Linked DNA regions of Coturnix japonica. The protein of the gene in region 7 interacts with the protein of the main gene of each other region in a pairwise test. Links are inferred from orthologs where the notes say so. Each region holds a gene or a part of one and is shown on either strand. Other genes may lie near its edges. The genes, in order: CCNK, SMARCB1, FAM124B, OSGIN1, DDX6, MLX and TLE family member 5.

Region 1 (3,712 bases), on a different chromosome or scaffold from region 7:
CAACAATCCAAGTTTGTGCTGACAGAAGAAAAAGCATGAAAACCAATACACACTGCCTATAAAGAGCTCTCTCAGTTTCCAAGCTCTTGAACAGATTTAATCAGCCTTCTATCCTGAATAACTCTAAAGTTAGTACTCAGTGCAAGAACTACACAATGCACAGCACAGCTTTTCGTCCTCTAGTAGCAGGCTATACCTTGTAAGCTATAACTTGTTAAAGACCTTGTAAAAGCATGCGGAATAATTACAGTATTATTCTATTACTCATGAAGTTTCTTATTTTCAACGAGATAGTAATAGAAAACAGAGACCTTTCCTTAACTAAGCTTCTTCAACAGCAACACGACAAATTTAGATGGCGCAGAACCATGAACCTCAGTAGCTGATGCTGACTTAAATGTCTGTCCACTTGGTTTTGCCTCAAGTGAAATGAGAATATCGATATGGCAAAACTGTCAAGGCTGTTCTACACTAACATACTTACCATACAACTAACAGAAGTCTACCATAAAAAATTAATTACCAGGATGAGTCTTAAAGCAAACAAATCTGCTGCACAACACAGCCTTTAAGTAAAAGTGTCATCAGATGAGCTTAAAAATAAAATGCAATTTGAAGATCAAAGTTAAACTTACTGCTGGTCTTTTAATCTGTCTGGGAGGACTTGGCTGAGGCGAAGGCTTTTTAGGTTGCGGTGCTTGTGTTTGCTGCTGCTGCTGCTGCTGTTGTGATGACTGCTGTGACTCTTTTTGCTGCTGAGTCTGCGATTGCTCTGAACCCTGGGACTGCTGTGATTGTTGTACTGTAGGTGTCTGAGGTGTAGATTGAAGAGATGGTGGCTGCTGCAGCTGATGAGGAGTATGATGAGGCATTTGCTGTTTTCCCTGTGAGTACAGATCCAGTATCTGGTGACAGATGTCTTTAAAAAGGAAGAGATAGGACTCAATTACGATCAACTCATAATGTACAAATGTACACTTAACTCACCATAATTAACTAAGCTTTTTACTGAAAATAAACTTCAGTGACTGCAAAGCTAGTGTAATTTGCTAGAAAGCAGGCTGCATTAGTTCCAGTGCTCACAGAACTGTGTATCTAAAAATGGGGAGAAAAGGAATAATAACTAAAAGCAAACAAACAAACACTCCCAGCAAAACAACACATCATAGATGAGCAGCTAATTAGCTGTGTTATAAACTAAACAATTTAAATAATTAGTAAAGCAAACACTGATCAGAAGACTAACCGTGATAACCAGTCTAAAATGGTCATTTAAAAAGTTCAATTACAAATCTGCTTAGGACATAGCACTGAAGGCCCATAAAGAAAGCAATCTGCATTTCCTTATGATTTAGATCATATAGTTGAAAAAAACACTTGTCTCTTTCTGGCAAATTTTTCTCATACCTTCCAGAACATCAACAGGAACATCTTGGACAAACTGCTCCCACCATCGTCTGTACATTGGTTTTGAAGTCCACTCCTGTATTTCAAACTTACACAGACGGCCTGCTAAGTACATAACTGCAACAGCAATGATCTCAGGCTCCCACTGCAGTGACAGAGTAGTACAGAGGCTGGGATACAAAAAAGCAAACAGAAATTTAATTTACAACAGCTATTACTAACAGCATTGACTCTTCACTGCACTTAAACATCTCAGACAAATTGAATGGAGAAACCTACAAACAGCCACTTAAGTGAAATGAGTTTACAAAACTAAGCTGTTCCTTCACTATGCTTTTTTATCACAGCAATTTCAGACATACATAATACCCTTAAACGCCATCTAGTCCAACTCCCCTGCAACGAACAGAATAAGCTACATGTCTCAGGTGGGCAAGAAGCCAGACTCTGTCTTGACATCTATAATTTGTGTTGGTCTTTTCAATAAACACCTTGTTTTGTTTGTTCATTTCTGACAGCAATATTAAGTCATTCCCATAAAATATCAAGGTTTTAATGGACTACTTCTGCAGTCATCCCAGATGCTCCACTCAGTGGAAATAACATGGTAAAGATAAAAAGTAAAAAAATATCTAGATCAAAAAATAATTCAGCTGCCCTCATTATGAACAGAAAGCACACAATAAGCAAAGAAATGTCAGAGAAATACCTCAACACAGAATAGAGTAAGCAACAGCAACCATTTAATTTCCAACGTGTCTCCTGGTACCATCTCACCTGTCATTGACAAACGTCCATGCCATTTGAACCAGCTTCTGAATCTTATTCTTGTCTCCTGAAAAGCAATCAGAAGAGGTAAAAGAAACTAAGTTATCAGAAATGCAAACAAACTGGAGAAGAACACACCTGCACTATTAATGTAAATAAAACGTCAAAAATTAAGAACGGGCAGCACTCTCTCATCCTGCAGCATTTTACCTTTGAGTTGTTTAGCATATTTGAGAAGGAACTGGTATGGATGTTCCACTTGCAGATCAAACTTTATTGTTTGTAGTAAGATTCTTTCAAGGACCATCACTTCTTCCTACAACACACAATAAGGCAACCATAATATTATTCCTTTTTTTACTCACAGATGTTTTATGCTGGTATAAAGTATAACTACAGAGCATCTCCATGCAAACATGTTTGTCCGCTTTTCCTTGTTTAGGGTTTGATTAGGAGAATAGAAACCTTTCCAACTTAAGCGCTGTTTTAAACCCGGATACTTTTTCTTCATAGTTATTTGGGGCAGAAGGGCAGAAGTTGTGCTTTAAATTCCTTTTCCTACATACAATAAAAAACTGAAGTAGATATGGCATAAAACTGTTCAGTATACAAAAGAAAAGGTAAGTTTTCACCATCTCTCTCTAGTTTTACATCTTTCTTGCATATACAGTAAACCATTTGCAATAATTCTGAGAAACGCTTAGTTTTGCTAAGCTAAGTATTATAAACAGGAACCTTAAAACATTTGAGATAATGCTCTGATTTGACCTGAGACTTTCAACTGCTTCTTTTCTAATGGCACTCTTAAGTCTGCCCAGCGTGATTTATGTCCTGATGGCATTTATAGCTGTGACCACAAACTGACTCCAGATTGATTTTAAATTGCAAAATAATACCAGAGCTCACATGAAATCAAATCTAAGCTTTTAATATAAACAGTTACTGGAGTAGCCTTTACTTGTATTCGCAAAAACTCTATTAGCAAGAATTATTTTCATAATTACCTACTACGTTACCCAAAAGAGCCATAAATGCACATTGAATGTGAAATTTGCAACAACTGAAACCAACCAGTGTTTTAAGGCTTGTTGTGTTGCTGGGTACAATAGGATGAAAATGAGTTCAATGTGAGTATTTTTTACCTTTGGATCATCTCCAAATTGTCCAAACTGTACATCATTTAGCAAGCTACGGGCTGTTTTAATTATATCTTTACATTTCTTAGGTGTTTCTTCTACTTTCCCTGCCAGGAAGAGACAGCAGGCTCCTGTCACCTAAAAAACAAAAGTGCTTTCAAAGAGTTGTCTGCATATCCAACACAGTACAACATTATTAAAGCACGGTCAGTTTCCATTAACAGATCTGTGGAATTTTCCCAGAAAAGATTTAATAAGCACATTAACTTTTAATATTACTGTGCTGCTAATTCAAGCTTTTCATTCTTAAAGAAAAACACAGAATTTGGAGGACTGACCATTTGATAGAACATTATTTCTTGGTTAGAGACCCTAAGTAGAACTTGCCTTCTTTCAGAAAA
Region 2 (4,284 bases), on a different chromosome or scaffold from region 7:
CAAATGCACACAGGCCTCTCTAACACCACAACCGTGAGCCTGTGAGAGGCCAGGAAAGGTAGCCTGGTACATAGTATGTAAAGCTAAATCTTGTATTATAACTTCCACAGATACAGAAGAGACAGCTGCCAAGAATCCTCCCAGTCCCACCACTGGGTTGTACTGAGGGGAGAACTGAATTCCTTACTCCCTTGGTGGGCATTCATGAACAGCTTTCCCTGGGAGCTCTGCCCAGGCACCAGCTCCAGTCTGCAATTCCATGCCAAGTTATCTGACATCTAAGAACTTCTGAACATGTGTTTCCCCTTTTCCATCTCCTTACCAGATTCTCAGTACTGGATTTATGACGGCGAGAGACGAGTCTCTGGTCCCACACCAACTGTAGAGCTGGGCCTCCCTGCTTCTCCCGTGCAGGCAGCTCTGGTATGGGGGACAGAGAAGAACAAGATTTACATCTTCAGTGGAGGCAACTACTGGCGCTTCAACCCTCGCACACGCCAGGTGGACAACATCTACCCCCGGACCATGGCTGACTGGCGAGGCGTCCCACAGGAGATTGATGCTGCTTTTCAGGATGAGCTGGGTCAGTGCAGCAGGGACAGGCCCTGCTCTGGGGCACGTGCTCAGGGTGATGCTACTTCCCACCAGACCCAGCTGTTACCACTCCCAATAGTGACAAGCCCAGCAGCTCTGCCTGCAGTTCAGCCCAGGCAGCAGTGCTGAACTGCTTTCAGTAGTACCTAGTGCAGACAGCTGAGTGAAGGCTGGCTCACTTACTCCTCCCTCTCTCCTCCACAGGTTTTGCCTATTTCCTGAGAGGCCGAGACTACTGGAAGTTTGACCCGGTGCAGGTGAAGGTTCTGGAAGGTTACCCCCGTCAGATCAGCCAGGACTTCTTCAGCTGCACACCGTCCTCCAACTCCTTCCGATGAAGGAGCATCCCCTACTTTTCCCTTCCAGCCCTGACCTCCAGCAGACACTGAGGGCTCTGCTGCCATCCCTGGCTCCTTCCAGGCGCAGACTGACACAACAGACGTGTCACAACAAGTGACAAAGTTTGCTCCTCTCCCGTTCCAGCAGCAGCCCCAGCTTTGGTCCCTGTACAGAAGCATCTGCCACATTCCTTACAGACACGAGCAGCCTTAATGTGGCCGGGCTGTTGTAGCTCTATCATCCCAAAGCCATCAGGCCTTGGAACGGGACCCCCCCCATAACACCGACCCGCCGCCATCACCCCCCGCGCTGTGAGGCCGCAGCCCCTCAGCCTGCCCCATCCCAGTGCTGGACACTGCCCATCCGCACGGTGCTCCCGGGTACAGAACCAAACCCGTGGGCGTCAACTTTTGTACGACGCGTATCAACTCTTTTTATATCTATATCTATATATACTGTGTATATACGTATCGATGTACCAATAAAGCGCCTCTTTTCTACCCGCCGCCCGACTCACTTCAGCGCCGGGTGGGCGGGAACGAGCGGGCGGGGCGGTGCCCTGCGCATGCGCAGAGCAGCAGCGGAGTAGGCCGAGGCGCTGCCGTTGTCGCTGCGCCCCGGTTCCCTCAGCGCCGCCGGATCCCGCCGGGCCGCAGCGATGATGATGATGGCGCTGAGCAAAACCTTCGGGCAGAAGCCCGTTAAGTTCCAGCTGGAGGAGGACGGAGAATTCTATATGATCGGCTCCGAGGTACGGACAATGGCGGCGGCCCGGGGAGGGGGGGAGGCGGCGAGGCGAGGCTGTGGGGTGGGCAGCGCTGTGTGGGAGCAGAAGGGCTTTGGTGCTGTGATACTGTGGGGATTGTGCTGTTAAAAGGAGCCATAACTGCAGGTTATCTGGCTATATGTGCCACACAGGGTACGTGGAGGAGGAGGGATCGCCTTCCAGCCCCCCGCTATAAAGTTACAATTAAAAATGGTCTGAAAGATGTTAAGGTCAAAATAAGGCCTGTGTGACAGGGAATGTGAGCCCCTTTGTGAACTATACACACTCTACAAGTACAGCAGCAGTTAAAAAACCTGGTCGCAGAGCCTAGAATTCATTGTGTTGTCCAGCGAACCCTGCTGGAGCCTGCACTGCTGTGTTGCATTGTGCTGAGAAGAGCAGAGCTGCTGTGCTGCTGGTCAGCGGGTTTGGAGAGGCACAGATCGCATCCTGCGTGTTCCAAGGGCTTAAAGTAGAGCACAAGGCAGCGCTGTGTGTGTCTGAGCCATCCACTCTTGGAAAGCAGTCCTGACAATAGCAGGACATGGGGAAATGGTTTTAAGTTGAAAGAGGGAAGATTTAGGTTGGATGTTAGGGGGAAGTTCTTCACTAGGAGAGTGGTTAGGCCCTGGAACAGGCTGCCCAGGGAGGTTGTGGATGCCCCGTCCTTGGAGGTGTTCAAGGCCAGGCTGGACGGGGCCCTGGGCAACCTGATCTAGTAAAGGTGTATGTTTGGTGGCCCTGCCAGGCAGGGGGTTGGAACTACATGATCCTTGAGGTCCCTTCCAACCCCGGGTCATTCTGTGATTCTGTGATCCCAGCGGTGTCTGGTGAAAGGGATGCTGCTGGAGAGCTGGGTGTGCAGCTCCATTAAATCCTTCCTGGACACTGTGCTGATGTAGCAAAGTCCCAAAAATAAACAAAAACTGATTTCTGTCAATGAGCTGGAGTTTCTTAGCAAACTAGTGAAATAAGTGCTGATAAGAGCTATGTATTGTGCCAAAAATTGTGCTTTATGATGCCAAACCTGATACAGTGAATTGTGAAAAGCAACAAAAAAAATCCTCTTAGGAGGTTATTTATGAGGTCACTGTTATTGTTTCATTATTGAAAATTTGTTTCAGTTTTTGATAATTCGTTTCTTTAAATGGAATACGTTTCCAGGTCACATCTTTGCTTTTCTTCTTATAGGTGGGGAATTACCTGCGTATGTTCCGGGGCTCTCTGTACAAGAGGTATCCCTCGCTCTGGAGACGATTAGCCACAGTAGAAGAAAGGAAGAAGATAGTGGCATCTTCACATGGTAAGAAGATGAGGAAATGCTCCCAGTCTAAATGTCTGCCTTGAAGAACTGTCTCTGTAGGCTCAGAAGCTTGTGTACCTTTAGGGCTTTGTGACAGCGTTCTGCAAAATGTGGCTGTCCTGGAGTTGGCTGCATTTATCACAATGCAAAAGACACACCTCAAGTTAAATACCATATTCCAGAAGAGATTTCTAGTAGCAAAGAGGGGTGGTTCTGTCCCTTAACACATTGAAAGGATGCTCATGTTCTTTATATGTTTATGACTCCCAGAATTTGCAGTGTGTTTCTACTGATGTTACCACCACAGTGAGAATGCAGCCACCTTGGTATTATTTTTGATGGGAGACTAATATTAAGAACTTATATTCATTAGCAGTGCAACTTGTCATGTGTTCCTCAGGCTAAGGCATAATAAAGATACGTGGTTCATTCTATACTTAAGCCTCCTTCCTCTAATATCCTGCTGACCTGTTGCTGATTTCTTTCTTTCCCAACAGAAAATCAGCGGTCTCACAGTCCAAGAAGATGTAAGTCTGATTTGTGTGTTATGCTTAGCTGTGCTACAGGAATAATCTCTGCCATGACCTTTGGCGTTATTACAGCATATAATAACATCTCATCCTCTGATCTCTCCCTGTGGTCATCCCATTGTGCATCCTCATCACATGCTGAACTTTTCTTTCTCAGAACATTAATGGTCTGTGCAATTCAGTAAGATCTGTCCAGTGGTTCTTCCCTTTTTCCAGGTCTTAAGAGTTTGTACTCCCTGGCTTAGCTTTCATTAGTATCTGATGTGTCTGCTCAGCCACTCGCTTTTCCATTGAGTGTTATATCTCCATTTCCACTATTAAGTCCACTGAGGATTTATAGTTTTCTGGACTGTGGAAAAGATTTTACATCATTGTGGCAGACTGTAGTTGTGCAGAGCAAAATGATGTGATAGTGTGGGGCTATTTAATGTAGGATTTTTTTTTTCCCCCTTATTACTTATAAGCTTATCTACTATTTACTATTTTAATGATGTGTTTTTTGCTAGTCCCACCTGCACTGACTCCACTTTTCACTGTTCAGCTTGTTTATGCCATATGCTATGTAATGCTTTTTCATGTTAACTATTAGCATCTTTCCTGGTAACAGATCATGGATATACAACATTAGCCACCAGTGTGACACTGTTAAAGGCCTCTGAAGTGGAAGAGATCTTGGATGGAAATGATGAGAAATACAAGGCAGTGTCTATCAGCACAGAACCTCCCACCTACCTCAGGTAACCTCAGTGTTG
Region 3 (4,460 bases), on a different chromosome or scaffold from region 7:
CTGCCCCAGGAGGAAGCTCAGGAAACTCCTTTTTGTTTGACCTCTTGTGTGCCTTGAAAGCCTGTCTGCTGTGTGTGTTTCCTAGGGCTGAGCCTTGAGTTGCTGTGTCCTGCTGACAGCGGGACTGAGCTAACCTGCTCTGATTGTGGCTCCATTTTTGTCTTGTTTTCTGCTTGGATCCTGATTTACCATGTGTGATGAGCTCTGTTTTCTGTGTCCAGTTGCTGATAGATCCCTGCCAGATCCTTTTTACTAGCTGGTTAAAAAGGAGAACTAAGGGACTACTTGGGAGAGAAGTCCCCTGTCGTAAGTGCAGTAGGTCAGACTGCTGGGGTTTTACTTTCCTCAGAACTGATGAATTTGGAGGCACGGTGCTTGGGGCAGGAGGCAGGCTGCAAAGCTTATTGTGCTCAAGTAGGGCCCTACTTCTGCTTTTTGTCTGAGTGCTGCTGTCGATGGCTGTCATTGGCCTTGGTGCAGGAAGAAATTGAAATCGGCAGGAAAAAAAAATGTCTTGAAGGCTAACGAGCCCAAGACAGTGCCGGGATTTAATGAGGGCTGCTTCTGTGATGCTGAGGTAATTCAGGCACCCTCCTGGAAGTTAATTACCGATGGTCTGCAATGCCTGAACCTTTGCCGTGTTGCTTCATTACAGAAGTTACAATGAATTTATTAAATCCTGCGGTGCGTCATCAGTCCTTGGGTGTCAGCTGGAGTGAAGGGCTCAGCACCTCAGGGCTGGGAGCAATCAAAGAGCTCATTATGGAAAGGAGTTATAATTCTGCTGTGCCCTTGCACTACAAGCCTTGAAACACATCACAGACCATATTCTGAGCCTCACACAATACAGTACTTGTTGGCTGTTTGCACTGGGCATTTATTTATGCTGGGCTTACTGATGTTCTATATTGGTGGTCAGTACGTCCCTCACGTGCTCTTACTCAGGTCAGCAATGCACAGCATGCCGTACCCTGTGCTGTGCTGCATGTTGCTGCTGTGTGTGGATGGTGTTCCGGGGCATTGTGGGAGCGCAGGCTGATTTTTCACATAGGGCTGAGCTGCTGTTCTCCTAATCTCTTACAGCAATCTTTCTTGGCATGCTGGGTAGGTCACAGTGAATAATGTGCTTTTCCGCTTGGCAGCCAGACTGGAAAGCTGGGGGAAGGGGAAGCAGAGGGAAAGTCAGGAGCTGCTCACATTTAGGGCAGCCTGCCTCTTTGTACCCTTCCCTGTAGCAAAGAGTTGATGAATCGCTTCCTTTTTCGGTGTTTCAGTAATACTCTGTGTTGTTCAGAGCTCATTTACAGCGCTGTAATGTTTTGAACACTCGCAGCCTTCGCTCTTCCTGTGATTGTCCAAGGGTTGGATGTTTTTGTCTCTGTCCCAACAGTTACTACTTGTTGGAAGTGCTGCAGCTATCTTTCTTAAGACCTTACATTACTTTGGTCTCATGACTGTATTTCTATTACTGAGTGTGATCTTTAAATAAAAGAAACGTGAAGCTCAGGTCCCTGTACCGTTAAACCCTGGAGATTTTCTTCAGGTGCATATAAAGCTAGGGCTGTATTTAATTAAAGGAGTTGGGGGGGGGGAGGAATAGTTCAAGTCCAGTGTTCTGGATAGCAGACCCCTGACCCTTGCACAGCAACTTGGGGTGGGCTGAGCAGCAAACTGCTGCCCCATGAGGTGCACAGCCCCGAGCCCAGGCTCCTCCTGCAGTGCCTGGGCCTGATTCATATTGGCCCTCATTGTTATCTCTCCTGTTCACATGTTTTTTTTTTTTCCTCTTTGTTAGCCTGCTTTCCTTCCTTGTTTTTAAAGAATAGCTTATCTGTGTGCCCCAGAAGGGTGTGACTTGGGGAGATCACAGCAAGCTGAAGTTCAGCAGCTGACTGCAGGAACACACGCTGAGGTTTTCACACACGGCGAGCACCCGGAGATATATGAGATGTGTGCAATTGGGAGAGCGACTGCACTCCTGCTTCAGCCCCCCAGCACCCTGCTCAAGGACAGTCACTGCACCACAACAGCGCCTCAGCGCATGTGCTGTGTGCACCTGGTGACCAGCTCTGGGTCACATTGCTGGGCCAGAACGTGCATCTGAGCTCTGATATGACGTGAGCAAACCAGAGCTGGTCCCATCACACCGTGGCACGCTTTCCTGCCTCGTGTGCGTGTGTGCAACCCTGTCACCTCATTGGGTTGTTGCAAAGCTTCTGAGTGATCAAGTTCTTTTTCTACCTCAGAGTGCAGTGCCTGTGCTGCTGCCACTCCGAACACTGCAGGAGGAAACTGGTTTTCGGTTTGGTTTTGTTTGTTGAAGAGGAGCTTTATGATGGGTGACAGAGCAGAGCCTCTGATGACTGTGCATCTTCTGGCCAACTCAGGATACTCGGCGTTCCTGCAGCAAGCTCTGGATCGTCTCATGGATTGGATCTGCCCAGATGTTCCACTTTTCTTTGTGTCCGAGCGAGCTGCTCCACTGAAATACTACGAGAGGTATCGCAGGAGGAACTGCGGCTTTCCTGGGATATCTGTCCTCCTTTTTCTGCATGAGGACCTGGGAGAAGAGCGGATCCTCCAGATCCAGGATCTCCTCCAGCGCCCACCCTGGCACCACCAGTGTGTCCCTACCACCTGGGCACGAAGCCCTCCCCACACACCAGCTCTGCAGGACTTTTATGGCTTGGATGACCAGATGCCGGTGTGGGGCATCCGGCGGGTGGGCTGCAGCCCCGAAATCCTGCGTGTGACCCTCTACTTCAGCTTTGATAACTACGACGATGCAGTGGGGCTGTACGAGATGATCCTACGGAAAGAAGCAACCACACGGAAAAGCAATTTCTGTGTCTTCATGCTCTATGCCACTAAAGCTATTGCGGTCCAGCTCTGCCTGAAGCAGCTGCCCATTGGGATGGCTGCTGAGCCCAAGGAGTCGTCGCTTTTGCAGTTCAAGGTGCAAGAAATGGGGCAGCTGGTGCCTCTCCTGCCCAATCCATGCGTTCCTATCAGCAGCACCAGGTGGCAAACACAGGACTACGAAGGAAATAAAATTCTGCTTCAGGTATGTGTGTGCACGGTGCTTGCAGACCAGATGCCTTTTGGGTTTTTCTATTCCAACAAAGAGCAGGACTGATTCAAAATGGAAATGAAGGTTTTGCTTGTCCGTATTTCGTTTTTAATTCATGAACTCAGCAACCAACTTCCAGTGCTACGATGTCATTGATAAATGTGAGCACGGATCCTTAGAATGCTTCCATATTGTTAGCACCCGAAGTAGAAGGTATTAGTTCTTTTTCGAGCCACTGAATTCACCTTTTTCCCTTTCCAGCCTGTTCTCTTTCTGATGCAACCTTATAAATGCTCCAGAAAGCAGAGTTTTAGCCCCGTACCATCCCAAACCAGGTGTTTTGCAAGTACAGCGCTGATGCAACATCACCCATGGTAGTTTTGTAATTGCAGTTGGGCAAAAGGGCTAAATAAATGCCATGGGAAAGCCGCCCCCTTTCTGTTGTGCTATGCAGCCCTGAGAGCATGCGAGCACAAATCAAACCAGGCTAAGATGGTGCTGAGGAGGTGGTGCTCACTGTGATTGTACGTGGGAGCAGGAGGGAAGTTCATCTGTGTGCTCTTTGCTTTGTAACAGCTCCTCACACCTCTGGCTTCCTTGGTTGCTATTTGGATATTTTTATTATTATTTGGATATTTAAATCATTTCAATGTATGTTCGATTTTCTTTATTTTCCTTTCTTGGTGAGGAAGTTCTTCTTTAAGGAAGTTCTCTCCACCTTTTCTCAACAGGTGCAGGACAGCTCCAAGCAGAGGGAAACAAGCTCTGTGCTTCCCAACCGGCGCAGTGCTGTTGCTGTGGATGGACTGCTGCACAGCCCTATTGCAGCCCCTCTCCCCACTCTGTGCAGCGCTGAGCAGGGAGGCCAGCAGGGCTGGGCCCTGAGGGGCAGGGTGACACCCGTGCCAGGCCATGCCCTCCCCATGCAGCAGCCCAATGGGAGCCTCTCTGGCTCTTCTCGGGGCACCACGATGCTCTCCCGCCATGTGCCCATGAGCAGCAGGCAGCAGAAGGGCTGGCCATGCCGGCCAGCAGCAGAAACCAACGTGGACACGGGGCTGGCTGTGGGCAGAACTGTGGGCTGTCACTGCTCACTGCAGCACAACCTTGTGCAGCCATGGGTGCTGAGTACGGCCTGCACCGCCTCGCACTGTGCACAGCCACCATCTGCTGTGGCCAACAGGAGGAAAGCAGCGGGACACGGGGCTCCAGGCTCCCGTGTGCAAACACGGAGAGACAGCCCTGGGACCAGGCCTGAGGAGGAAGAGGAGTTCTTCATATGACTGGAAACAAGCACATGGCAGGCTCCTCATTTGAGTGCTATCAACGTGATTTTGTCTGCAAGCACAGCAGCTGGGCTGTGTGTGGGGCGATGGAAACCTTGAGTGGG
Region 4 (3,712 bases), on a different chromosome or scaffold from region 7:
GAAGTGGCCTTTGCTCAAGTGGTTCACACACACAGCATGGGCACTGTGTCAACATGACCCACTGCAGGCTGCTGTGTCACTTCAGCTCCCCTCCCCTCCATCATTACTGCATTATGTAATGCTTGTTAGTCACTCCGTTGTGAGCAGCTGTGAGCCAGAGGCTGACGGCTTGTCATCCAGGCACTGTGAAATATTAAACGTGCTGGAGGACGGCCATGTGAAAAGTTTCCATAGGCTGCTCTTGCTGGGCTCTGCAGTTGCAGTCTTTCCACTGTCTGCAGGAGGAGGTCAGATATCCTGCAGCCAGTCAGAAGTACTATATTCTGAGGCACTCTTGGCACAGCAGGCTTTTTTCCTTAACGCACTGCCTGCAGTACAGACTGGGGCTGATTCCAGTAAGCGACCAGCTTCCAGATCTTTAAAGCTGATGAGCAGTGACTGAGTTTGTCAGCAGGCCAGAGACTTTAAGCTTCAGGTGAGGCTGGGGAGCAGAAGGGGATATGTGAGGGCAGAAAGACTTCCCCAGCTGTGTCTGATGGGTTATCTGTAGCTTGAAAATACAAAGGATTGTGTCTGAAGTGTGCATCTTAACCTTTGGTTTGGTCAAGATGCTTAAAACACTTCTTAAAGGGCTGTACTGTCTGCAGGAGTAAAAAAAAAAACATCTCCATTGTGTCTCTTCAGGGAATGGACCTTCTGGAATCTGCCTCTCATATTTGCTGACAGGCTACACACCTTACTTCAAAAGACACTCTCTTCATCCTCATCCCATTCTTCAAAGTAAACTAGAAGAGGCAGCAGATGTGTCCATTTTGGACCAGGTTTGTATAAAGAAAAATGACTTTGTTAGCAGAAGATGTTAGTTTATCAACATAGTGAGGCGCTCGGGGGGTTTATTATAAGTGATGTATTCATCTGAATTTTCAGAGTGTGTAGAACACACTCAGACAGAATGAGTCTTAAGCAAAGCATTCTAGTTGTCCAAATTTCCCTTGTGTGAAGTGCCAGCACTGCTAAGATCCTCAAGAAAGTTCTCAAACAGTAACAGGGGCTGTATGCAATTAAATGAACTTCACAAAACTCCAAAAACAGTGTCTGGAAGTATAGCAGTTATAAACAGTCTGCAGCCTGACAGGACACGCATTCACAGCATCTGATCTATCTCTCTTTAGGATCTGGAGTATCTGTCTGAAGGTTTAGAGGGAAGATCCAACAGCCCTGTGGCTCTTCTGCTTGATACCCTTCTGCGACCTGATACAGACTTTGGTGTGAGTGCAGAATCTGTGCTCACTTGGAGGCACGAGACTGAAAGAGCCATCTCCCACCTGGTCCTTGGCAAGAACCCTCCAGGAGGTGCCTGGCATGTATGTGAACCAAAACCTAACTAACTGCTTACAACTGTATTTTATAAAATAGCCAAATGCATTGACTGGAGAGTTGAAGGTACTCCAGTGTGCTACTCACACATGCTTGATTTTGCATGTACAAAGAGGTGTAAGAGCTTTAAAAGGGTGAACAGGACTGGCATTTATATTTCCAGTTAATTGTTCTTTTTGGAGAAAATGGGGGGTTTCATCCATGCCAATGCATCTAATGAAATCATTGGCTTCTTCTGTTGTGAGATATACTGAAACTTGAGTTACACTTAGCTTCTTACATTAAATAACTGAATGCCCTTTAACTGTTTCTTGCTCCAGTCTATTGAGGGCTCCATGATTACCCTGAGCAGAGGGGAATGGATGGGACTCCCAGATCTCCAGTTCAAGGACTGGCTAAAGCAAAAGAAAAGGTGAGATACTCATGGTCTGATTTCTTGCAAGCATCCATATGTTATTTGGGAACTTGGAGTGGGCTGGACTTCTTGAATGCAGCTGCCTATCTTTAGTGGGTGATTCTTCTGAAAGGTCACTCAGAGTATTCAGACTATGAGTTCTTCTGAACTGTCTGACTTCTACAGCTACTGCTACTGACCCTAATGATAAATACAATAATCTGAGATACTCCACAGCTTCTCAGATGCTTCTACTCTGTAACTGTTGAAGCCTTAGAGTCTAGTAATTGAAAGTGGAATAGCAGTGAGATACATGTGAGAAAAGAGTGAATGAGTGACCATGTTCTTAGGGATGGAATTTGTATTAAAAATTTTCCTCTGTCCAGCAGCTTCCAAATCTGATTACCAGCTCTGTATACTGGGAATAACTTAGCTAAAGTCAGGGAAAATAGATAAGCCTCCTGTAGTAGTGACGGATTAGATAGCTCTAGGATACATTCAGTGGAAGAAGTAAGAAATTCCAGGCTCTTACTTAACTGCTGCTTGACCTTTGTAATATATTGCAGGGGCCTCAGAAACCATAGAGCCACAGCAGAAGACATTGCTCAATACTACCAGCATTATGTAGTGAAGAAAGGGCTGCAGAAGAACTTTAGATGTGGGACTGTTGTAACCTCTGTGAGGAAAGTAAGTGCAAAGAGCATCTCCAACCACGCACAGAAAGATCTACAGAAGAGTGACTTGCTCTGGAACTTCAGTGAGGAGAATATGGAGGTCTTTCAGGTGGATGGATTTGTCAAAACTGTCAAAGGTGACAAGGAGCCCTTCACTGTCTATGCAGAGAATGTGGTCTTAGCTACAGGAACGTATGATAGTCCCACTTGGCTCAGGGTCAAGGGAGAGAACCTTTCCTATGTCCATCACCAGCTCTCTGCCCTAGAGGAAGCAGTGAAAAACAACAGTATTGGTATCACATCAGATCCAGTTTTGATTGTAGGTGCTGGTTTGACAGCTGCTGATGCGATTCTCTTTGCTCACCACTGCAGTATTCCAGTAATTCATGTTTTTCGGAGACGAGTCAGCGATCCAGGTCTTATTTTTAACCAGCTACCCAAAATGATGTACCCTGAATACCACAAAGTCCATCAGATGATGAAGGAACAGTCAGCTGCTTGTGCTGGGCCCTATGAGTGCTACGTTAGCCTGCCTGAGCACCATGTTCTATCTTTTGGCAAGGACAAGAAATGTATCCTTCAAGACAAAAACGGCTGCCAGAAAGCTTTTAAAATTTCCATGGCTCTTGTTCTAACTGGTTCAAATCCCAACCTCTCCTTTCTGCTGAATAATGGCATTGACTTGGCGATGGACAGTGACCAACCAGTCAATCCCAAGAGGAATCCCATAGATGTTGACCCATTCACTTATGAATGTACTCAGGAGAAAGGGCTTTATGCTCTAGGGCCTCTAGCTGGAGATAACTTTGTACGCTTTGTACAGGGAGGGGCTCTGGCTGCTGCCAGCTCTCTCTTAAGGAAAGCAAACAAAAATCCTCCATAACAACAAAAGCCACCTATGCTAACAATGTCTGAATGGGTTACTGCTGATGTCAGAGAATTTGATATGCACGTATTTAAATGAGAAGGCTACTCTTGCCATTCTTCAGGATTATGCAGTTACTAAGTTCTTGCTGAGTTATTTGGAAAGGTTACATCACCAGAGTTTCATTCATGGCAGTAACTTCATTCCCAGGGTATTCTGCTCCTTTTCTACATGGCTGTGTATGCAGGCAGCAGGGGCACTGAACCTTCCTCCTGGAGAAGTGGAGGGTAAGGTAGTGAATGCTCTTTTGTGTTAACACCTCCCAGGTTTCTGAAAGTTGAAATGAGGAATAATCAATGTAAATTACTTCCAGACCGCAGGCTGACAACTCTCTGTCTGTCA
Region 5 (3,712 bases), on a different chromosome or scaffold from region 7:
AAATGTAAGACAAAGGAGGAAACACGGCCTAATCTTAGTCCAGTTTTGCTTGCTTTGGGGTTAGTTGTTGCAGATCTCTTTTGTGGTGAGAAACCTTCCAGTCAGTTCTCTTTTGTCATTGAACTTAAATGGTGGTGAGTGCACTCCCTGGTGCAACACTCCAGTTTCAATTAGTCAGAGCCTAAGCCAGGACATGGTGGTACCTTTATGACACTTGTCTGTCTCTTTTGTCCCATCAAACTGCTTTTGGAAGTGTGCTAATAATACATACTGGTTGGAAATTATCTCAGACCTGTGAGACTTGAATGTTACGATAGCAGCTCACTTTTTTCCTCCCATAGTTGCCACTGCACCCAAGCAACATGAATTTGTTTCCCTGCCTGAGAGAGTGCCTAATGGAATGCCCGAGCTCTTACTGTTTGCTTAACACATTTTCAGCTGTGGTGTTTTTAAACTGGGTTACTACCAATAGAACTCATCAGAACTTACTCCTAAATGGGACTGGGGAGGAGGAGAACTTGTTTTCTTCTGTATGGGGGCTTTTCAGAGAGGAAGAGTGTCTGAATCTCACTGAGAGTCAAATGGAGTGTGTGTTTACTTAGTTTTCTCCCCAGAAATAATTTCATCTTATATTACTCACGGATATCAAATAGACAGTTCCTGAACACAGAAATGTGGGTCTCTCTTTTTTATTATTATTATTTTTAGCACCAGTATTGAAATATACATGTGTGGATTTATTACTTATTACTTTAACATCACTATGTCAGTATGTCAGTGCTCAGTTTGAAATCTGTGTTCCAGTGGACTGATTTGGTGACCCAACAGGGGGACCTGAATCATGACAGGATAAAGATCTCCCAAGTTTGCTTTGCACTTGGCAGGCTGCTCAGTGCCTTTGTTTCCCATTTCCTGCCTGTTGCATCCCACTTTGCTCAGAAAAGATTTGAGCTTGTACCTGTAGGTGCTTATAGCTGAAAATATCACATGTCAATCACTTGCCAAGAAAATCAGAATGCAAAATCAAATGATTAAACCAGTCTTTGTCTTTGTTTGTTTTGCTGTAGACCTGGCGATGACTGGAAGAAGACTTTAAAACTCCCTCCAAAGGATTTGAGAATCAAAACTTCTGTAAGGATTCCTGAATTGTAGGAATGGAAATTGTGGGAGAAGCTGCAGTGAAAAAAAAGTCATACAAGATTCAAAAGCATTTAAGCTTTTGCTCAGCTGTTTTAAATGAGGGATTGCTTTGTAAAATTAATCTGTTCTCTTAAAATTACTTGGGAGAGATGCTTCTCTCGTGAAGCTCAATAACACTGTTTAATGTGTTTCTTGCTTTTTATTGCTGTTGCAGCTTGGGTCCAGTGTCTTCTGCAAGGCAGAAATCAAAAGATGTCTGTGTATATTCACAGGATTGTATTTGGTTTTTGGAAAGTTAATGTTTACTTCTCTACTTTATGATATTGTACTGATAAGTGAGAACTCCTGTCTAGTAATGGAACATGCTTTCTGATCTTCCTGCATAAGCAGCCTCTCCTCGGGTCTGACTGATGCTTGGCTGTGGGTTGTGTGACCTAATCTTATGGATGTGCTTTTTCTGATTATCCAGGACGTGACCTCCACAAAAGGAAATGAGTTTGAAGATTACTGTTTGAAACGGGAGTTGCTGATGGGAATTTTTGAAATGGGCTGGGAAAAGCCATCTCCTATTCAGGTTGTTATAATAAACAGACTAGTTATAAGCAGCAACTTAATTATTATAAACTCACTGATATTACATGTGCTTAAATGGTGAATGCTTGTGTCATGGCTCGGGGAAACTGGGGATTTGAACAGCAGGATTTTGTGACTGTAGGAAGGAAGAAACACTGATTTCCAAGTAAATCATAGCTGTTGGCTGATGAAGAGATTGGGATTGACTGAGATTTTAGAGAAACTAACTTTGATTTTCCTTTTCGCTGTGGAGACATCAATGTGTTCCTCTCATTCAGAAGCATCAGTAGCCATAGCAGTCACAGTGGGGACAGGGCTGTTCTTATACATTCCTGGAAAACTTTGATTTGCTGTAGGTTGCATATCTGTAGTTATAGAGGTATCTGTGTGGCATTACCACCCATTCTTGGCTTTTTTTATCATACACATCTGGAAGGAGTCATAACAGAGGTTATAGGAGAGAGATTAATGTGTTAGTAAGTTTACTTTTCTGTCCCTTCCTCTTTAAGAGTTGTTTTACGAGTAACAATTGACGTGTGTGAAATTGCTGGGGAGACAAGGTTTATTTTCAATTGTTGCTTAGAGAGTTATCATTGACAACTGGGCCACTTTATCTCTGTAAGGAATGAAGGAAGCTACGGCTTATTTCTTTCAAGTAGATTCTAACACATCACCTTTTCTAAATGAAAAGATTGTAGGTATTTGGGTTGTTTAGTTGTTGCTGCGAAGGAGAGCAAACTGAAGAGTACATGTGCCCTCTCTCTGAATGGCTGAAGTCTCAAAACTAGCAGGCTTCCCTTTTGTAAAGTCTAATCACAGAAGCATGCAGGTTTGAGATTACATGGGCTGATGCGTTTCCAGCATTAAGAGATGCATGTCTGTTTCTGTTGGAGGAGTTTCTGTCTGTCACTGTCTCCTCAATTTTTTTTTTTAAATTTTTTTTGTAAATTACTTTTTGCTGATGTATCAGTGTGGGTTTACCATGCCTGCAGTACCCAGTACAGAGCACATTAAGAACTTTATTTGGGATATTGGGAGCAGAAGTGTTGTATTGTGTTGAAGAACTCTTTGCTGATAGATTTAACTCCTTCCATCTGTGAGAGCACAATACACGCAGGATATTCTGTTCACAGAATAAACATGTAATGTTGTATTGTTAGTGAGGAGAATTATATTTTGTTAATCTCTTTAGTGAGCCTAGCTGGTGATTGTTCATGAATTGACTGTCATTTCAGGAGGAGAGCATCCCCATTGCTTTGTCTGGTAGGGATATCTTGGCTAGAGCGAAAAATGGAACAGGCAAGAGTGGAGCCTACCTCATTCCCTTACTTGAACGGCTAGACTTAAAGAAGGACAACATACAAGGTCAGTTGGGATGGGTCTGCCTTAGCTGCATCCAGGTGGTGGTATTATTGCTCACTGTCTAGACTTGAATCTAAAAGCTGTTTGATGAAATGCAGTGATGTAGGTTGTCTGCTCACACTTGTAAAGCAAGTACATGGGGAATGGTAGAGGGAAGGTGGAATTTTATAAGTTGCAAGTTTCCCTTCAGGAACTTGAATTGGAAGGTATCTTCCAGACTTTACTTTCTTGCCTCAGAAAGCAGATTAGGAGTAATAAACATGTGGTGGCTGGGAGAGCTGTGTGGAGCGAGTGTGAGGGAGCACATGTGGAATTTATCTTGTTTTGAGCAGCTTCTAGGACTTCTATAGATACCTATCAGGATATTTATAGTGGAACTGCAAAACTTTGAAATATGGCTTTGTGAAGCTTCTATGTTCTACAGGGAAGTATTTAAGACTGTGTGTTAATAGTAATTCATGCTGATACTTTTAACTTTCAGCAATGGTGATCGTTCCCACCCGTGAACTAGCCCTGCAGGTCAGTCAAATCTGTATCCAAGTCAGCAAACACATGGGAGGTGCCAAAGTGATGGCAACAACAGGAGGAACCAATTTACGAGATGACATAATGAGGCTTGATGATACAGGTTGGTGCA
Region 6 (4,219 bases), on a different chromosome or scaffold from region 7:
CCGGCGCTGTGCCGGGACACGCTGTGCAGGTGAGTTGGATTCTTTCTGCTCCCAAATCACCTCCCTCTGTCTTGCAGAAATCTTGAACAAAGACGGGACGATCAACAGGAAGATCCTCGGGGCAAAAGTGTTTGGAAACCAGGTACGAGCAGCACAGGGAATGTCAATATTTAACCTCATGAGCAGAGAACTCTGTGCTGGCGCTTTGATTTCCAGCCCTTTGAGCTGATGCCACGTCCCTGTGCAGTAGCACACAGTAAATCAGCGGCTGTGCAGGATCCACATCCAGGCAGCAGCTGCTGTTGCTCCTCCAGCTGTGGCCCCCTCGTGGACCAACCTCTGGGAGGACCCTGACTCCGCTGCGGTTCCTTTCCAGGAGCGGCTGAAGAACCTCACAGACATCGTGTGGCCGGAGATCGCGCGGATGGTCAGGGAGCAGATCAGGGAGGCAGGAGCTCAAGGTACCGGGTGGCTCTGATTGTAGTGGGCGCTGCCGGCGCTGCCTGTGTCCGCCCGGTGACCAGGAACGGCCTCGTTCCGTAGGAAAAGCCGTGATGGTGCTGGATGCCGCCGTGCTGCTGGAGGCCGGATGGCAGGAGATGGTGCACGAGGTGTGGGCGGCCATCATCCCCGAGGACGAGGTGGGTGACTCCCCTCGGCCGCCCCGTGATCCCCGTGACCCCCCGTGACCCCCGTGATCCCCGTGACCCCCGTGATCGCCGTGATCCCCGTGATCGCCGTGACCCCCGTGATCGCCGTGACCCCCCGTCCCGTGCTGGTCCCGCAGGCGCTGAAACGCATCGTGAGCCGGGACGGGCTGAGCGAGGAGGCGGCGCGTGACCGGCTGCGGAGTCAGATGAGCGACGGGCAGCGGGTGCGGGAGGCGCATGTTGTGCTGAGCACCGCGTGGGAGCCCGACGTCACCCACAAACAGGTGAGAACGGGCCGCTGTAACGGGCCGGTGTAACGGCGCCGAGCCCCGCACGAAGCTGCTGACGGTGCCCGTTGTCAGGTGGAGAAGGCGTGGGAGCTGCTGCAGCGCCGCATCCACCGCGCGGCCACCGCAACGAGCAGCTGAACCGCAACGGGACCGAGAGGAGCCGGGACCGGGAGCGAACGGAGCGAACGGAGCGAACGGAGCCGCACAACGCGCCGGGACGGACCGGAAGCGCCGCGGCCCCGACCGGGCGGGTACGGCCCGTGCTCGGCACGGCGGGCGCTGCCGGTTCCGCGCCGTGATCCCGCAGCCGAGCGGCGGTTAAAGGGCGGTCGCAGTTTCCCGGTGTCCGTGCTGTTTGTGTCCCGTTGGTCCCGTTGTTCCCGTTGTTCCCGTTGTCCCCACGTGGCGCCCCCTCGCGGTCGGGAGGGCGGCGCTTCCCGGCGTCCCCCGCGGCTCCCACGTGACCGGGGCGGGGGAAGATGGCGGAGCCGCCCGGTGCCGCGGCGGAGGAAGCGTGGGGGAAGGTAACGGGGCGGCGGTCGGACCGTGGGGCCGAGGCCCGGAGCGCCACCATCCGCCCCGTGACCGCCGCCCTCCGCCCGCAGGTGGACGCCGCGTACGGGGACAATGTCCCGGAGCCCGGTAGGTGCCGGGGGGGGCGGTTCGATGGCGGGTGGCGGATGGGGCGGCTCCGCTGAGCGGCTCCCGCTGTCCCGCAGCGCTCGGTACGGACAGGAAGGGCAGCGTCGTGTCCCGCGCCAACAGCATCGGATCCACCAGCGCCTCGTCCGTGCCCAACACCGGTACGAACGGGGGCACCGGGCTGGAGCGGGGCGGGCGCGGGGCAACCGGGGACGGCGGCGTCCGGGGGGGCCCGTCCCGACCCGCGCTCAGCGCCGCTGTGTCCGCAGACGACGAGGACAGCGATTACCCGCAGGAGTTTTACAAGGAGTCCTACAAGGACCAGCGGCGCCGGGCGCACACGCAGGCGGAGCAGAAGCGGCGCGATGCCATCAAGGTCGGTGGGCGCCGCGCCGCGTTCCAGCCCCTCGTCCCGTGCTGGATCCGCTCCATGAGCCGCGTGTGGCTGGAGCCGCTTTGGCCGCGTGGTGGGAGCTGGGCTGTGGGTCCGTGTAACCGCTGCCGTTTGTGCCTGTTCTGCTCCCTCTGCCCCTGCAGAAAGGCTACGACGACCTGCAGGCCATCGTGCCCACCTGCCAGCAGCAGGACTTCGCCATCGGCTCCCAGAAGCTGAGCAAGGCCGTCATCCTGCAGAAGAGTGAGTGTGTGCAGGAGGCAGCAGGGCACGATCCGACCCTCAGGCACCTCAATGTGGTGATTGTGTGTGATGGTGCCTCGGGGACCGACCTCAGGGAGGTCAGAGGGGCCCCATGTGCTGCTTACTCTGTGTTTTTGTGTTCAGCCATTGATTACATTCAGTTCCTGCACAAGGAAAAGAAGAAGCAAGAAGAGGAAGTTTCTACTCTCAGGAAAGACGTGATGGCCTTGAAGATAATGAAAGTGTAAGTAAGAAGTTATTTGGTTGCTGCCCCCTTCTTCCTGCTGTTTTTCCCCATGTCCCTGCAAAGCTCCCCCGATGTGCTCAGTGCTCTGTGTGCAGTCTGGCACCTGGGGTCGTACCAAATTGCCTCCAGTTCTGAAGCTGTTTTCAGTGTCCAGTTACTGGCAGCAGCTTCTGCCCCCGCTGTCGCCCAGCTGCTGTGCAGTACGAGGCTTCGATAGCACTGAGCCCCAAACTTGGTGTTTCAGGAACTATGAGCAGATCGTAAAAGCTCACCAGGACAACCCGAGTGAGGGGAAGGACCAGGTCTCTGACCAGGTGAAATTCAACGTTTTCCAAGGCATTATGGATTCCCTCTTTGAGTCCTTTAATGCCTCCATCTCAGTCACGAGTTTTCAAGAGCTGTCAGCATGTGTCTTCAGCTGGATTGAGGAGCACTGTAAGCCCCATGTGAGTACAGCAGACACAGGGGGGTTGATATAAGAGCAGAGGCTGTTGTGTATGGCTGCACCTGTCTGGAGTGTAGGCCTGTGTGCAGCTTTTCTTTCGCCTGGGCCTTCAGAAAGGCAGAATGTGGCTGACACTGGACCTGGGGCATGGGAGCTTGGGTTCCTCTCATTTCCCAGCTGCTTGGCAGTGAAATTCAGACACTGAAAAACAGAGCTTACAAAGAGGGTGCTTGTTCCCCAGCACTTTGTTCCATAAGACACTTAGAAGTTAGGAGGGAAGAGAATGAGCTGCATGGGCAGGGCCAGGTCCTTGTTGTGCTGTGGCTGCCTGGAGCCCTGCAGCCTGAGAACACAGACAGGCGATCGTTTCCCATACAGGTGCTGAGATCTGTGGCACCAGGTGCTGTCTGTAGCATTGAGCATGGGAAAGGCTTTTCCTCCCCTGAACAACTGACTGTGTCTCCTCTCTGCCCCAGACCCTACGGGACATTGTCATCGGGGTCCTGCACCAGGTGAAGAGTCAGCTGTACTGAGCATCCCTCGCTGGAGCACCTCCCGACCGGGTGACAGCTGCCAGGAGAGGCTGGACCATCTCCCTTGTGCTGGTCCTTAAAGCTTCTTCGATTATTTATTGTCACTACAAAACCAAACCAAAGCTGTGCAAACAGGTACTGTCACAGTCAACGTTACCAAATACTGCTAAGGACTTAGTGAAGGGAAAGAAATAAGTGTGTATTGAATATAGATCTTTTAAGTTGCCAGTGTCTTTAGCTCAGGCAGGTGGTTGCAGTTGGGTTTATCTGTGCCACTGATTTCAGGGCTGCAGCTCAGCAGGTGAATCTGCTCTGTAACCTCACACCTGATATAAACCCTATTGAACCTGGGAGCAGGGAGAAATAGGAGAGTGCTAAAAGCTGTTGCTGTGCTAATGCAGCTCAGGAATAGGGTTATTCTGCAGCTGCAGGTTTTCAATACCTCCCTCTGAAGCAGCTCTTAGAAAAGCAAGAGTCTGCTTTTAATTTCTGTAGCTGCTTTGGAGAAGGCCCGGGAGAACTGAGGGCAGGTTTATTAGCATGTCACTGCCAGGGCAATGCTCATTACATGGAGCAGCAAGCGAGCTCTGTGCTGAAGGAGTGCCCTGGGGCCTCGCTGTGCTGACTCTTCAGTAACACCCCTGAATGGGAAAGGAGTGAACTTTCATTGCAGCCTTTTCCTCCTTGTTCTGATGAGTGCTGAATTGGGCCTGGCTTTATCTTTTTCTGGGTTGTGATGTGGCCACACTGAACAGGAAAGTTCAGTAGCTGCAGC
Region 7 (4,504 bases):
GAGCTGTCACAATAACTCAGCTGCTATATTGTTCCCTTTAAAAATAAATAGCACAACAGCCCGGCCTGCCTCGCTGCAGCCGTGACGTGTGGGGCTTTATTTTGAAGCAGAAAATGCACCCAGTTTGAAAGGCAGGAGGAGAACAGCAGCCAAATCAAGGCAGGATCCCTGTGCACGCAGCAGCCCTGCCCAGCACTCCTTGTTTGTGCCATGCAGGGATCCAGCAGCCTTTCTCTGCTCACTGGAGCACTGCAGCCTCTGCCCATGGATGGGGCTCTGCTGAGGTGCTGCTCTGGGCATGGTTTCTTCCAGCAAAGGAGAGAAGAGAAGAAGCAATGCTTTGCTGTGGGCATTGCAAGTCAAAAACTGAGCCCTGCATTGCAATGGTGGGGTCTGCACTGTGATGGTGAGCCTTGCACTGTGATACTGGGGCATGCAATGTGATGGTGAGCCCCATAATGCAATGGTGAGCCCCATATTGCAATGGTGAGTCCTGTACTGTGATAGTGAGCCCCAAATTGTGATGGTGAGCTCCACACTGCTGGGGTGCTCAGCTCCTGCAGCATCACATCAAGAACCATAAGCAATAGGTGAACAAGGAACGCCAAGGGCAGACGTGTCTGGCCCATCTGGTGGCCTCCATTGATGGCATTGGTGGACAAAGGAAGGGCACAGGCTGCAGTTGTGCAGGGCCTTTGCACGGCCCCACACTGTGCCCATTTCTCTCAATAGGAGAGAGGTGGGTTTGAAGGGTGGGCTGTTTGGTGGGTAAGGAAGTGGTTGGATGGTCATAGCTTGGGATCTGTGGTCGTGGTGGTCCTACAGACCCCCCTGCGCTGCAACTATGGGGGGGCAGAGGGCAGGGAGGGGACTGTCCCGTCTGCTCAGCCCTTGTGGGGACCCACCTGCAGTGATGCATCCAGGTCTGGGATCAGGCTGTGGGATGCTCTGAGCTCTGAGCACCAAAGATCCTCTGCTATGGAAACGTGCTGATGGAGCAGCCATGGAGGCTCCGGGGAGACCTCACTGCAGCCCTCCAGTACTTGGGGAGGGGGCTTACAGGGAGGAGGGGGAGTGACTTTTACCTGCCTGATAGCAATATGGTGATGGGGAGAACTGGATGCCCTTTAAGGCCGACCCCACTCTAAGCCCTTCTCGCACCCACGATGCCCGCAGCAGGTGCGGGGCTCTGGGACACAGCGCAGACCCCAGACCCACGGAGGGTCCCACGGAGCGGGGTCTGAGCGGCACCGGGTCGGGATGGGTGGGCGTGGGGGGGGCAGAGCATCACGGCTGGGGGGGGTAGGAAGGAATTGGGGGGGGGGGGGCAGCTGGGCGCCCCCCCCCCCCCCGATCCCGGGGGGGGGGGGGGGGGGCGAGGGGGGGGGGGGGGGGGGAATTGGGGGGGGGGGGAGCAGCTGAGCGCCCCGCACCGCCCGGATCGCGGCGGGGGCGGAGACGGCCGTGGGCCCGCCCGGCCCGGGGAGGCGGCGGCGGGGCGGCAGGTGGTGCCGAGCAGCCGCAGGACGGAGCGGATCGCAGCCGCCATTAGACAATAGGCGGCGGCTCGGGGCACAGCGGCGCGGGGCGGCCGCGGGGCCGGGCCCGGCGCGGACAAAGGCGGACGGGGAAAGAACGGAACGGAGCGGAGCGGAGCGGAGCGGAGCGGAGCGGGGCGAGGGGACCGCTGCGGGCGGTGGAACGGGCTGCAGCCTGACATGATGTTTCCACAAAGCCGACACTCGGTACGGCGGCACCGGGAGGAGCGAGGAAGGAAGGAAGGAAGGAAGGAGGGAAGGACGGGGGGGAGCACCGAGAGCCGCCCCCTGCCCGCCCGCAGCCACCGGGAACCGGAGCGGGGGGTGCGGGTGACCTTGGGCGGCGGCGGGCTGCGGTGGGGGGGCGGGCAGGGCTGCGGGCCCCCCATTGGGTGTGCAGCGCTGTGTGTGTTGTTCAAGGGCTCCTCTCACCTGCCGCAGCAGCTCAAGTTCACCACCTCCGACTCGTGCGACCGCATCAAGGACGAGTTCCAGCTCCTGCAGGCCCAGTATCACAGGTACGTGCCGGTACCGCCCCCACCGACCGCCCCGAGCATCCCGGGGGGGTCCGCAGTGCGCCCGGAGCTGGGATCCTCCGCTTTGGCATCGCTGCCCTGCACGGACCGGGACGCAGCGTGGCCAAGAGATGGGCTCCGTGCGGCACGACGCGCTGCCCTCCCAGCCCAGCACAGGTTTACCCCCAGGCTCAGCCTCCCCAGGCCGGTATCACCTCCAGGTCCCACCTGGAGGACCGATGTGAGCATCCCAAGGAGGGGGGGGGGACGCCCGGTGTGCACCCATTGCTGCCTTCCTTTCCTTTGGCCACGCAGTTCGGCCCAGAGTTGGCCAAAAGCTGCAATCCAGGCAGGGAACGCTCTGCTCACTGCCCAAAAGGTGGGATTCTGGAAGGAGAAGGAAGGAGAACGCTCTGCCTCCCCCACAGCCAGGTCTTACCCCAATGCAGGACTCCATGCACAGCTCTTCCATCCCTCCATCCATGCACAGCTCTTCCATCCCTCCATCCATGCACAGCTCTTCCATCCCTCCATCCCTGTGCAGCTCTTCCATCCCTCCATCCATGCACAGCTCTTCCATCCCTCCATCCCTGTGCAGCTCTTCCATCCCTCCATCCATGTGCTGCTCTTCCATCCCTCCATCCCTGTGCAGCTCTTCCATCCCTCCATCCCTGTGCAGCTCTTCCATCCCTCCATCCATGTGCTGCTCTTTCATCCCTCCATCCATGTGCAGCTCTTCCATCCCTCCATCCATGTGCAGCTCTTCCAGCCCTCCCTCCTCTCGCTGGGAGTTTTCCTCCCCTCTCCCTGCTGGCTGCCATTCTTGGCTCACAAATGCTGCAGGGAGCACTTAAAGCCAAATGCTTCCGCTTTTCCGCCTGCGGAATGGCTTCTGCTGACCCAAAAGCTGGCTGCCGATGGGCTCTCTTGCTGTTTGCTTCCTAGCTGCACGCATGCACCAAACCATTGCTCCGTGTGTTGCCCTTTCCCTATTGCTCCCACCTCCCCGAGCTCTGCATCGTGCAGCATTGTGGCCCCCCCTTGCAGGACCCGATCTGCTCACAGAGCAGCAGGTTTGGTGGAGGTGAAGCTGTTTCTTGTTTGAAACATAAAACCAGCACATGCTGCTTGCAGCTGCCGGGCTGGGGAGCTGCACAGAGCACAGCGAGCAGCACGTCTGCTCTTAAGGGTGCAAAGAACCCAAAGGAAAGGGGGAAAAGGCATCATTCCAGAGGCCTGCACTGCACCTGGGCTTCCCCAGTATAGGAGGATCTGGTTGCTTTGCTGAGCTGCACTGGGCACACAACAGGCTGGGATGGACCCTGCAGGATGCAACCCAGGATGCAACCCGCTGCCCTGCTGCTTCTCTCACTGCTTTCTGCCTTTGCAGCTTGAAGTTGGAATGCGACAAACTCGCCAGCGAGAAATCGGAGATGCAGCGTCACTACGTCATGGTGAGGAGCTGCCGGGGCAGCGCGTGGGTGGGGAGCAGGTGCTGCTGCTGCTGGGCTCGTGCAAACGGGGCTCCTCGTGCACACAGGGCTCCTCGTGCAAACAAACAGAGCTCCTCGTGCTCTGCACCCTGTGTGTGTGCTGGGTCGGTGGGTGCAGGATGGACATGCAGGGTGTGAGCAGGGAGCTGCTGTCTGTGTGCAGAGCTGCTCTGCTGCTTGAGCAAACTTGGAGTGCTCAGGAATTGACTTCCCGTGCCAATAGCTTGCACTGGAGCTGCCTGTTGTGTGAGGGGGGTGGGTTATTTTGCGTGTGTGTTTCCTGCAGCTCCTTCCCAAGCAGCTGGAGCTGTGTGCAGCTGGAGCACAGGGCTGAGCCCTTCCATTTGCTGCCGGAGCAGCCACGTGGGCGTTAGGAGATGGGCCAGGCACAGCAAACAGAGCCGGGCTGTGCCTGTTCCCAGCAGAGCACTGAGCTCTCCCTGTGATGCCAGGGCTCTGTGAAGGTGCTGAGTGGGCTCTGGGTTAGTTGAGGTCCCACCTGGGCTGGGGGCAGCAGGAAGGTACAGATGTGGGGGTCTCTTTGCATGCTGGAGTCCTCATCGTGTCTGTTTGTTCTCTTCTTCCCCACTCCGCAGTACTACGAGATGTCCTACGGGCTGAATATTGAGATGCACAAACAGGTATTGGGGGGGGTGGGCTGCCTGCTGTGCCTTCTGTCCCTTCAGTGGCATTTCAGGATGTCAAACGTCAGCACTGATTTTGGGATCTCCAGCTCTGGCATTGGGGAGCACCTTCACATTTTTTCCACCCCATGACCTTATAAAAACGTCTTTTCATGCAGGGAGGGGAAAAAAAAATAATCATTGTGGCCATGAGCTGCTTTTCCAAACCCTTCTGGAAGGGGGGACCCGGCTGGGGGTGCTCTGGCTCTGAGCTGGGCTGGGTGCAGTCAGTGCTGGGCACCTCGTGGTGGAGGCTCTGCTGTAGCCTGGCTGAG

What was found.
Region 1: the proteins of TLE family member 5 (region 7) and CCNK interact in binary tests that used the Homo sapiens proteins (3 or more experiments, as listed by UniProt). The two-hybrid records come from large-scale screens. The link is inferred for Coturnix japonica from reciprocal best matches to the Homo sapiens genes TLE5 and CCNK.
Region 2: the proteins of TLE family member 5 (region 7) and SMARCB1 interact in binary tests that used the Homo sapiens proteins (3 or more experiments, as listed by UniProt). The link is inferred for Coturnix japonica from reciprocal best matches to the Homo sapiens genes TLE5 and SMARCB1.
Region 3: the proteins of TLE family member 5 (region 7) and FAM124B interact in binary tests that used the Homo sapiens proteins (3 or more experiments, as listed by UniProt). The two-hybrid records come from large-scale screens. The link is inferred for Coturnix japonica from reciprocal best matches to the Homo sapiens genes TLE5 and FAM124B.
Region 4: the proteins of TLE family member 5 (region 7) and OSGIN1 interact in binary tests that used the Homo sapiens proteins (3 or more experiments, as listed by UniProt). The two-hybrid records come from large-scale screens. The link is inferred for Coturnix japonica from reciprocal best matches to the Homo sapiens genes TLE5 and OSGIN1.
Region 5: the proteins of TLE family member 5 (region 7) and DDX6 interact in binary tests that used the Homo sapiens proteins (3 or more experiments, as listed by UniProt). The two-hybrid records come from large-scale screens. The link is inferred for Coturnix japonica from reciprocal best matches to the Homo sapiens genes TLE5 and DDX6.
Region 6: the proteins of TLE family member 5 (region 7) and MLX interact in binary tests that used the Homo sapiens proteins (3 or more experiments, as listed by UniProt). The two-hybrid records come from large-scale screens. The link is inferred for Coturnix japonica from reciprocal best matches to the Homo sapiens genes TLE5 and MLX.

Annotation. Positions count from the first base shown.
Region 1 is NC_029520.1:43,662,853-43,666,564, reverse strand, and holds part of CCNK (cyclin-K), read right to left. Parts: intron 3,450-3,712; coding exon 3,318-3,449; intron 2,492-3,317; coding exon 2,386-2,491; intron 2,243-2,385; coding exon 2,185-2,242; intron 1,578-2,184; coding exon 1,408-1,577; intron 920-1,407; coding exon 636-919; intron 1-635. UniProt on the Homo sapiens protein: Regulatory subunit of cyclin-dependent kinases that mediates activation of target kinases.
Region 2 is NC_029530.1:7,048,579-7,052,862, forward strand, and holds the start of SMARCB1 (SWI/SNF-related matrix-associated actin-dependent regulator of chromatin subfamily B member 1), read left to right. Parts: upstream 1-1,484; 5' UTR 1,485-1,591; coding exon 1,592-1,684; intron 1,685-2,890; coding exon 2,891-3,002; intron 3,003-3,499; coding exon 3,500-3,529; intron 3,530-4,139; coding exon 4,140-4,269; intron 4,270-4,284. Other genes in the region: MMP11 (stromelysin-3), read left to right, coding at 326-583, 799-932.
Region 3 is NC_029524.1:6,955,302-6,959,761, reverse strand, and holds the start of FAM124B (protein FAM124B), read left to right. Parts: upstream 1-1,639; 5' UTR 1,640-2,332; coding exon 2,333-3,064; intron 3,065-3,801; coding exon 3,802-4,353; 3' UTR 4,354-4,460.
Region 4 is NC_029526.1:103,807-107,518, forward strand, and holds part of OSGIN1 (oxidative stress-induced growth inhibitor 1), read left to right. Parts: intron 1-684; coding exon 685-821; intron 822-1,172; coding exon 1,173-1,364; intron 1,365-1,697; coding exon 1,698-1,789; intron 1,790-2,337; coding exon 2,338-3,328; 3' UTR 3,329-3,712. UniProt on the Homo sapiens protein: Monooxygenase catalytic activity. Involved in regulation of cytokinesis; promotes RHOA activity, probably acting locally at the midbody in late cytokinesis.
Region 5 is NC_029539.1:4,836,289-4,840,000, reverse strand, and holds part of DDX6 (probable ATP-dependent RNA helicase DDX6), read left to right. Parts: intron 1-1,067; coding exon 1,068-1,131; intron 1,132-1,609; coding exon 1,610-1,714; intron 1,715-2,948; coding exon 2,949-3,078; intron 3,079-3,556; coding exon 3,557-3,703; intron 3,704-3,712.
Region 6 is NC_029542.1:4,577,870-4,582,088, forward strand, and holds the start of MLX (max-like protein X), read left to right. Parts: upstream 1-1,303; 5' UTR 1,304-1,419; coding exon 1,420-1,464; intron 1,465-1,545; coding exon 1,546-1,582; intron 1,583-1,659; coding exon 1,660-1,743; intron 1,744-1,851; coding exon 1,852-1,958; intron 1,959-2,119; coding exon 2,120-2,219; intron 2,220-2,363; coding exon 2,364-2,463; intron 2,464-2,710; coding exon 2,711-2,912; intron 2,913-3,387; coding exon 3,388-3,444; 3' UTR 3,445-4,219. Other genes in the region: bifunctional coenzyme A synthase-like, read left to right, coding at 78-142, 377-461, 544-641, 788-934, 990-1,262. UniProt on the Homo sapiens protein: Transcription regulator. Forms a sequence-specific DNA-binding protein complex with MAD1, MAD4, MNT, WBSCR14 and MLXIP which recognizes the core sequence 5'-CACGTG-3'. The TCFL4-MAD1, TCFL4-MAD4, TCFL4-WBSCR14 complexes are transcriptional repressors.
Region 7 is NC_029543.1:645,086-649,589, reverse strand, and holds the start of TLE family member 5, read left to right. Parts: upstream 1-1,492; 5' UTR 1,493-1,718; coding exon 1,719-1,745; intron 1,746-1,958; coding exon 1,959-2,056; intron 2,057-3,443; coding exon 3,444-3,507; intron 3,508-4,142; coding exon 4,143-4,187; intron 4,188-4,504. UniProt on the Homo sapiens protein: Transcriptional corepressor. Acts as a dominant repressor towards other family members. Inhibits NF-kappa-B-regulated gene expression. May be required for the initiation and maintenance of the differentiated state.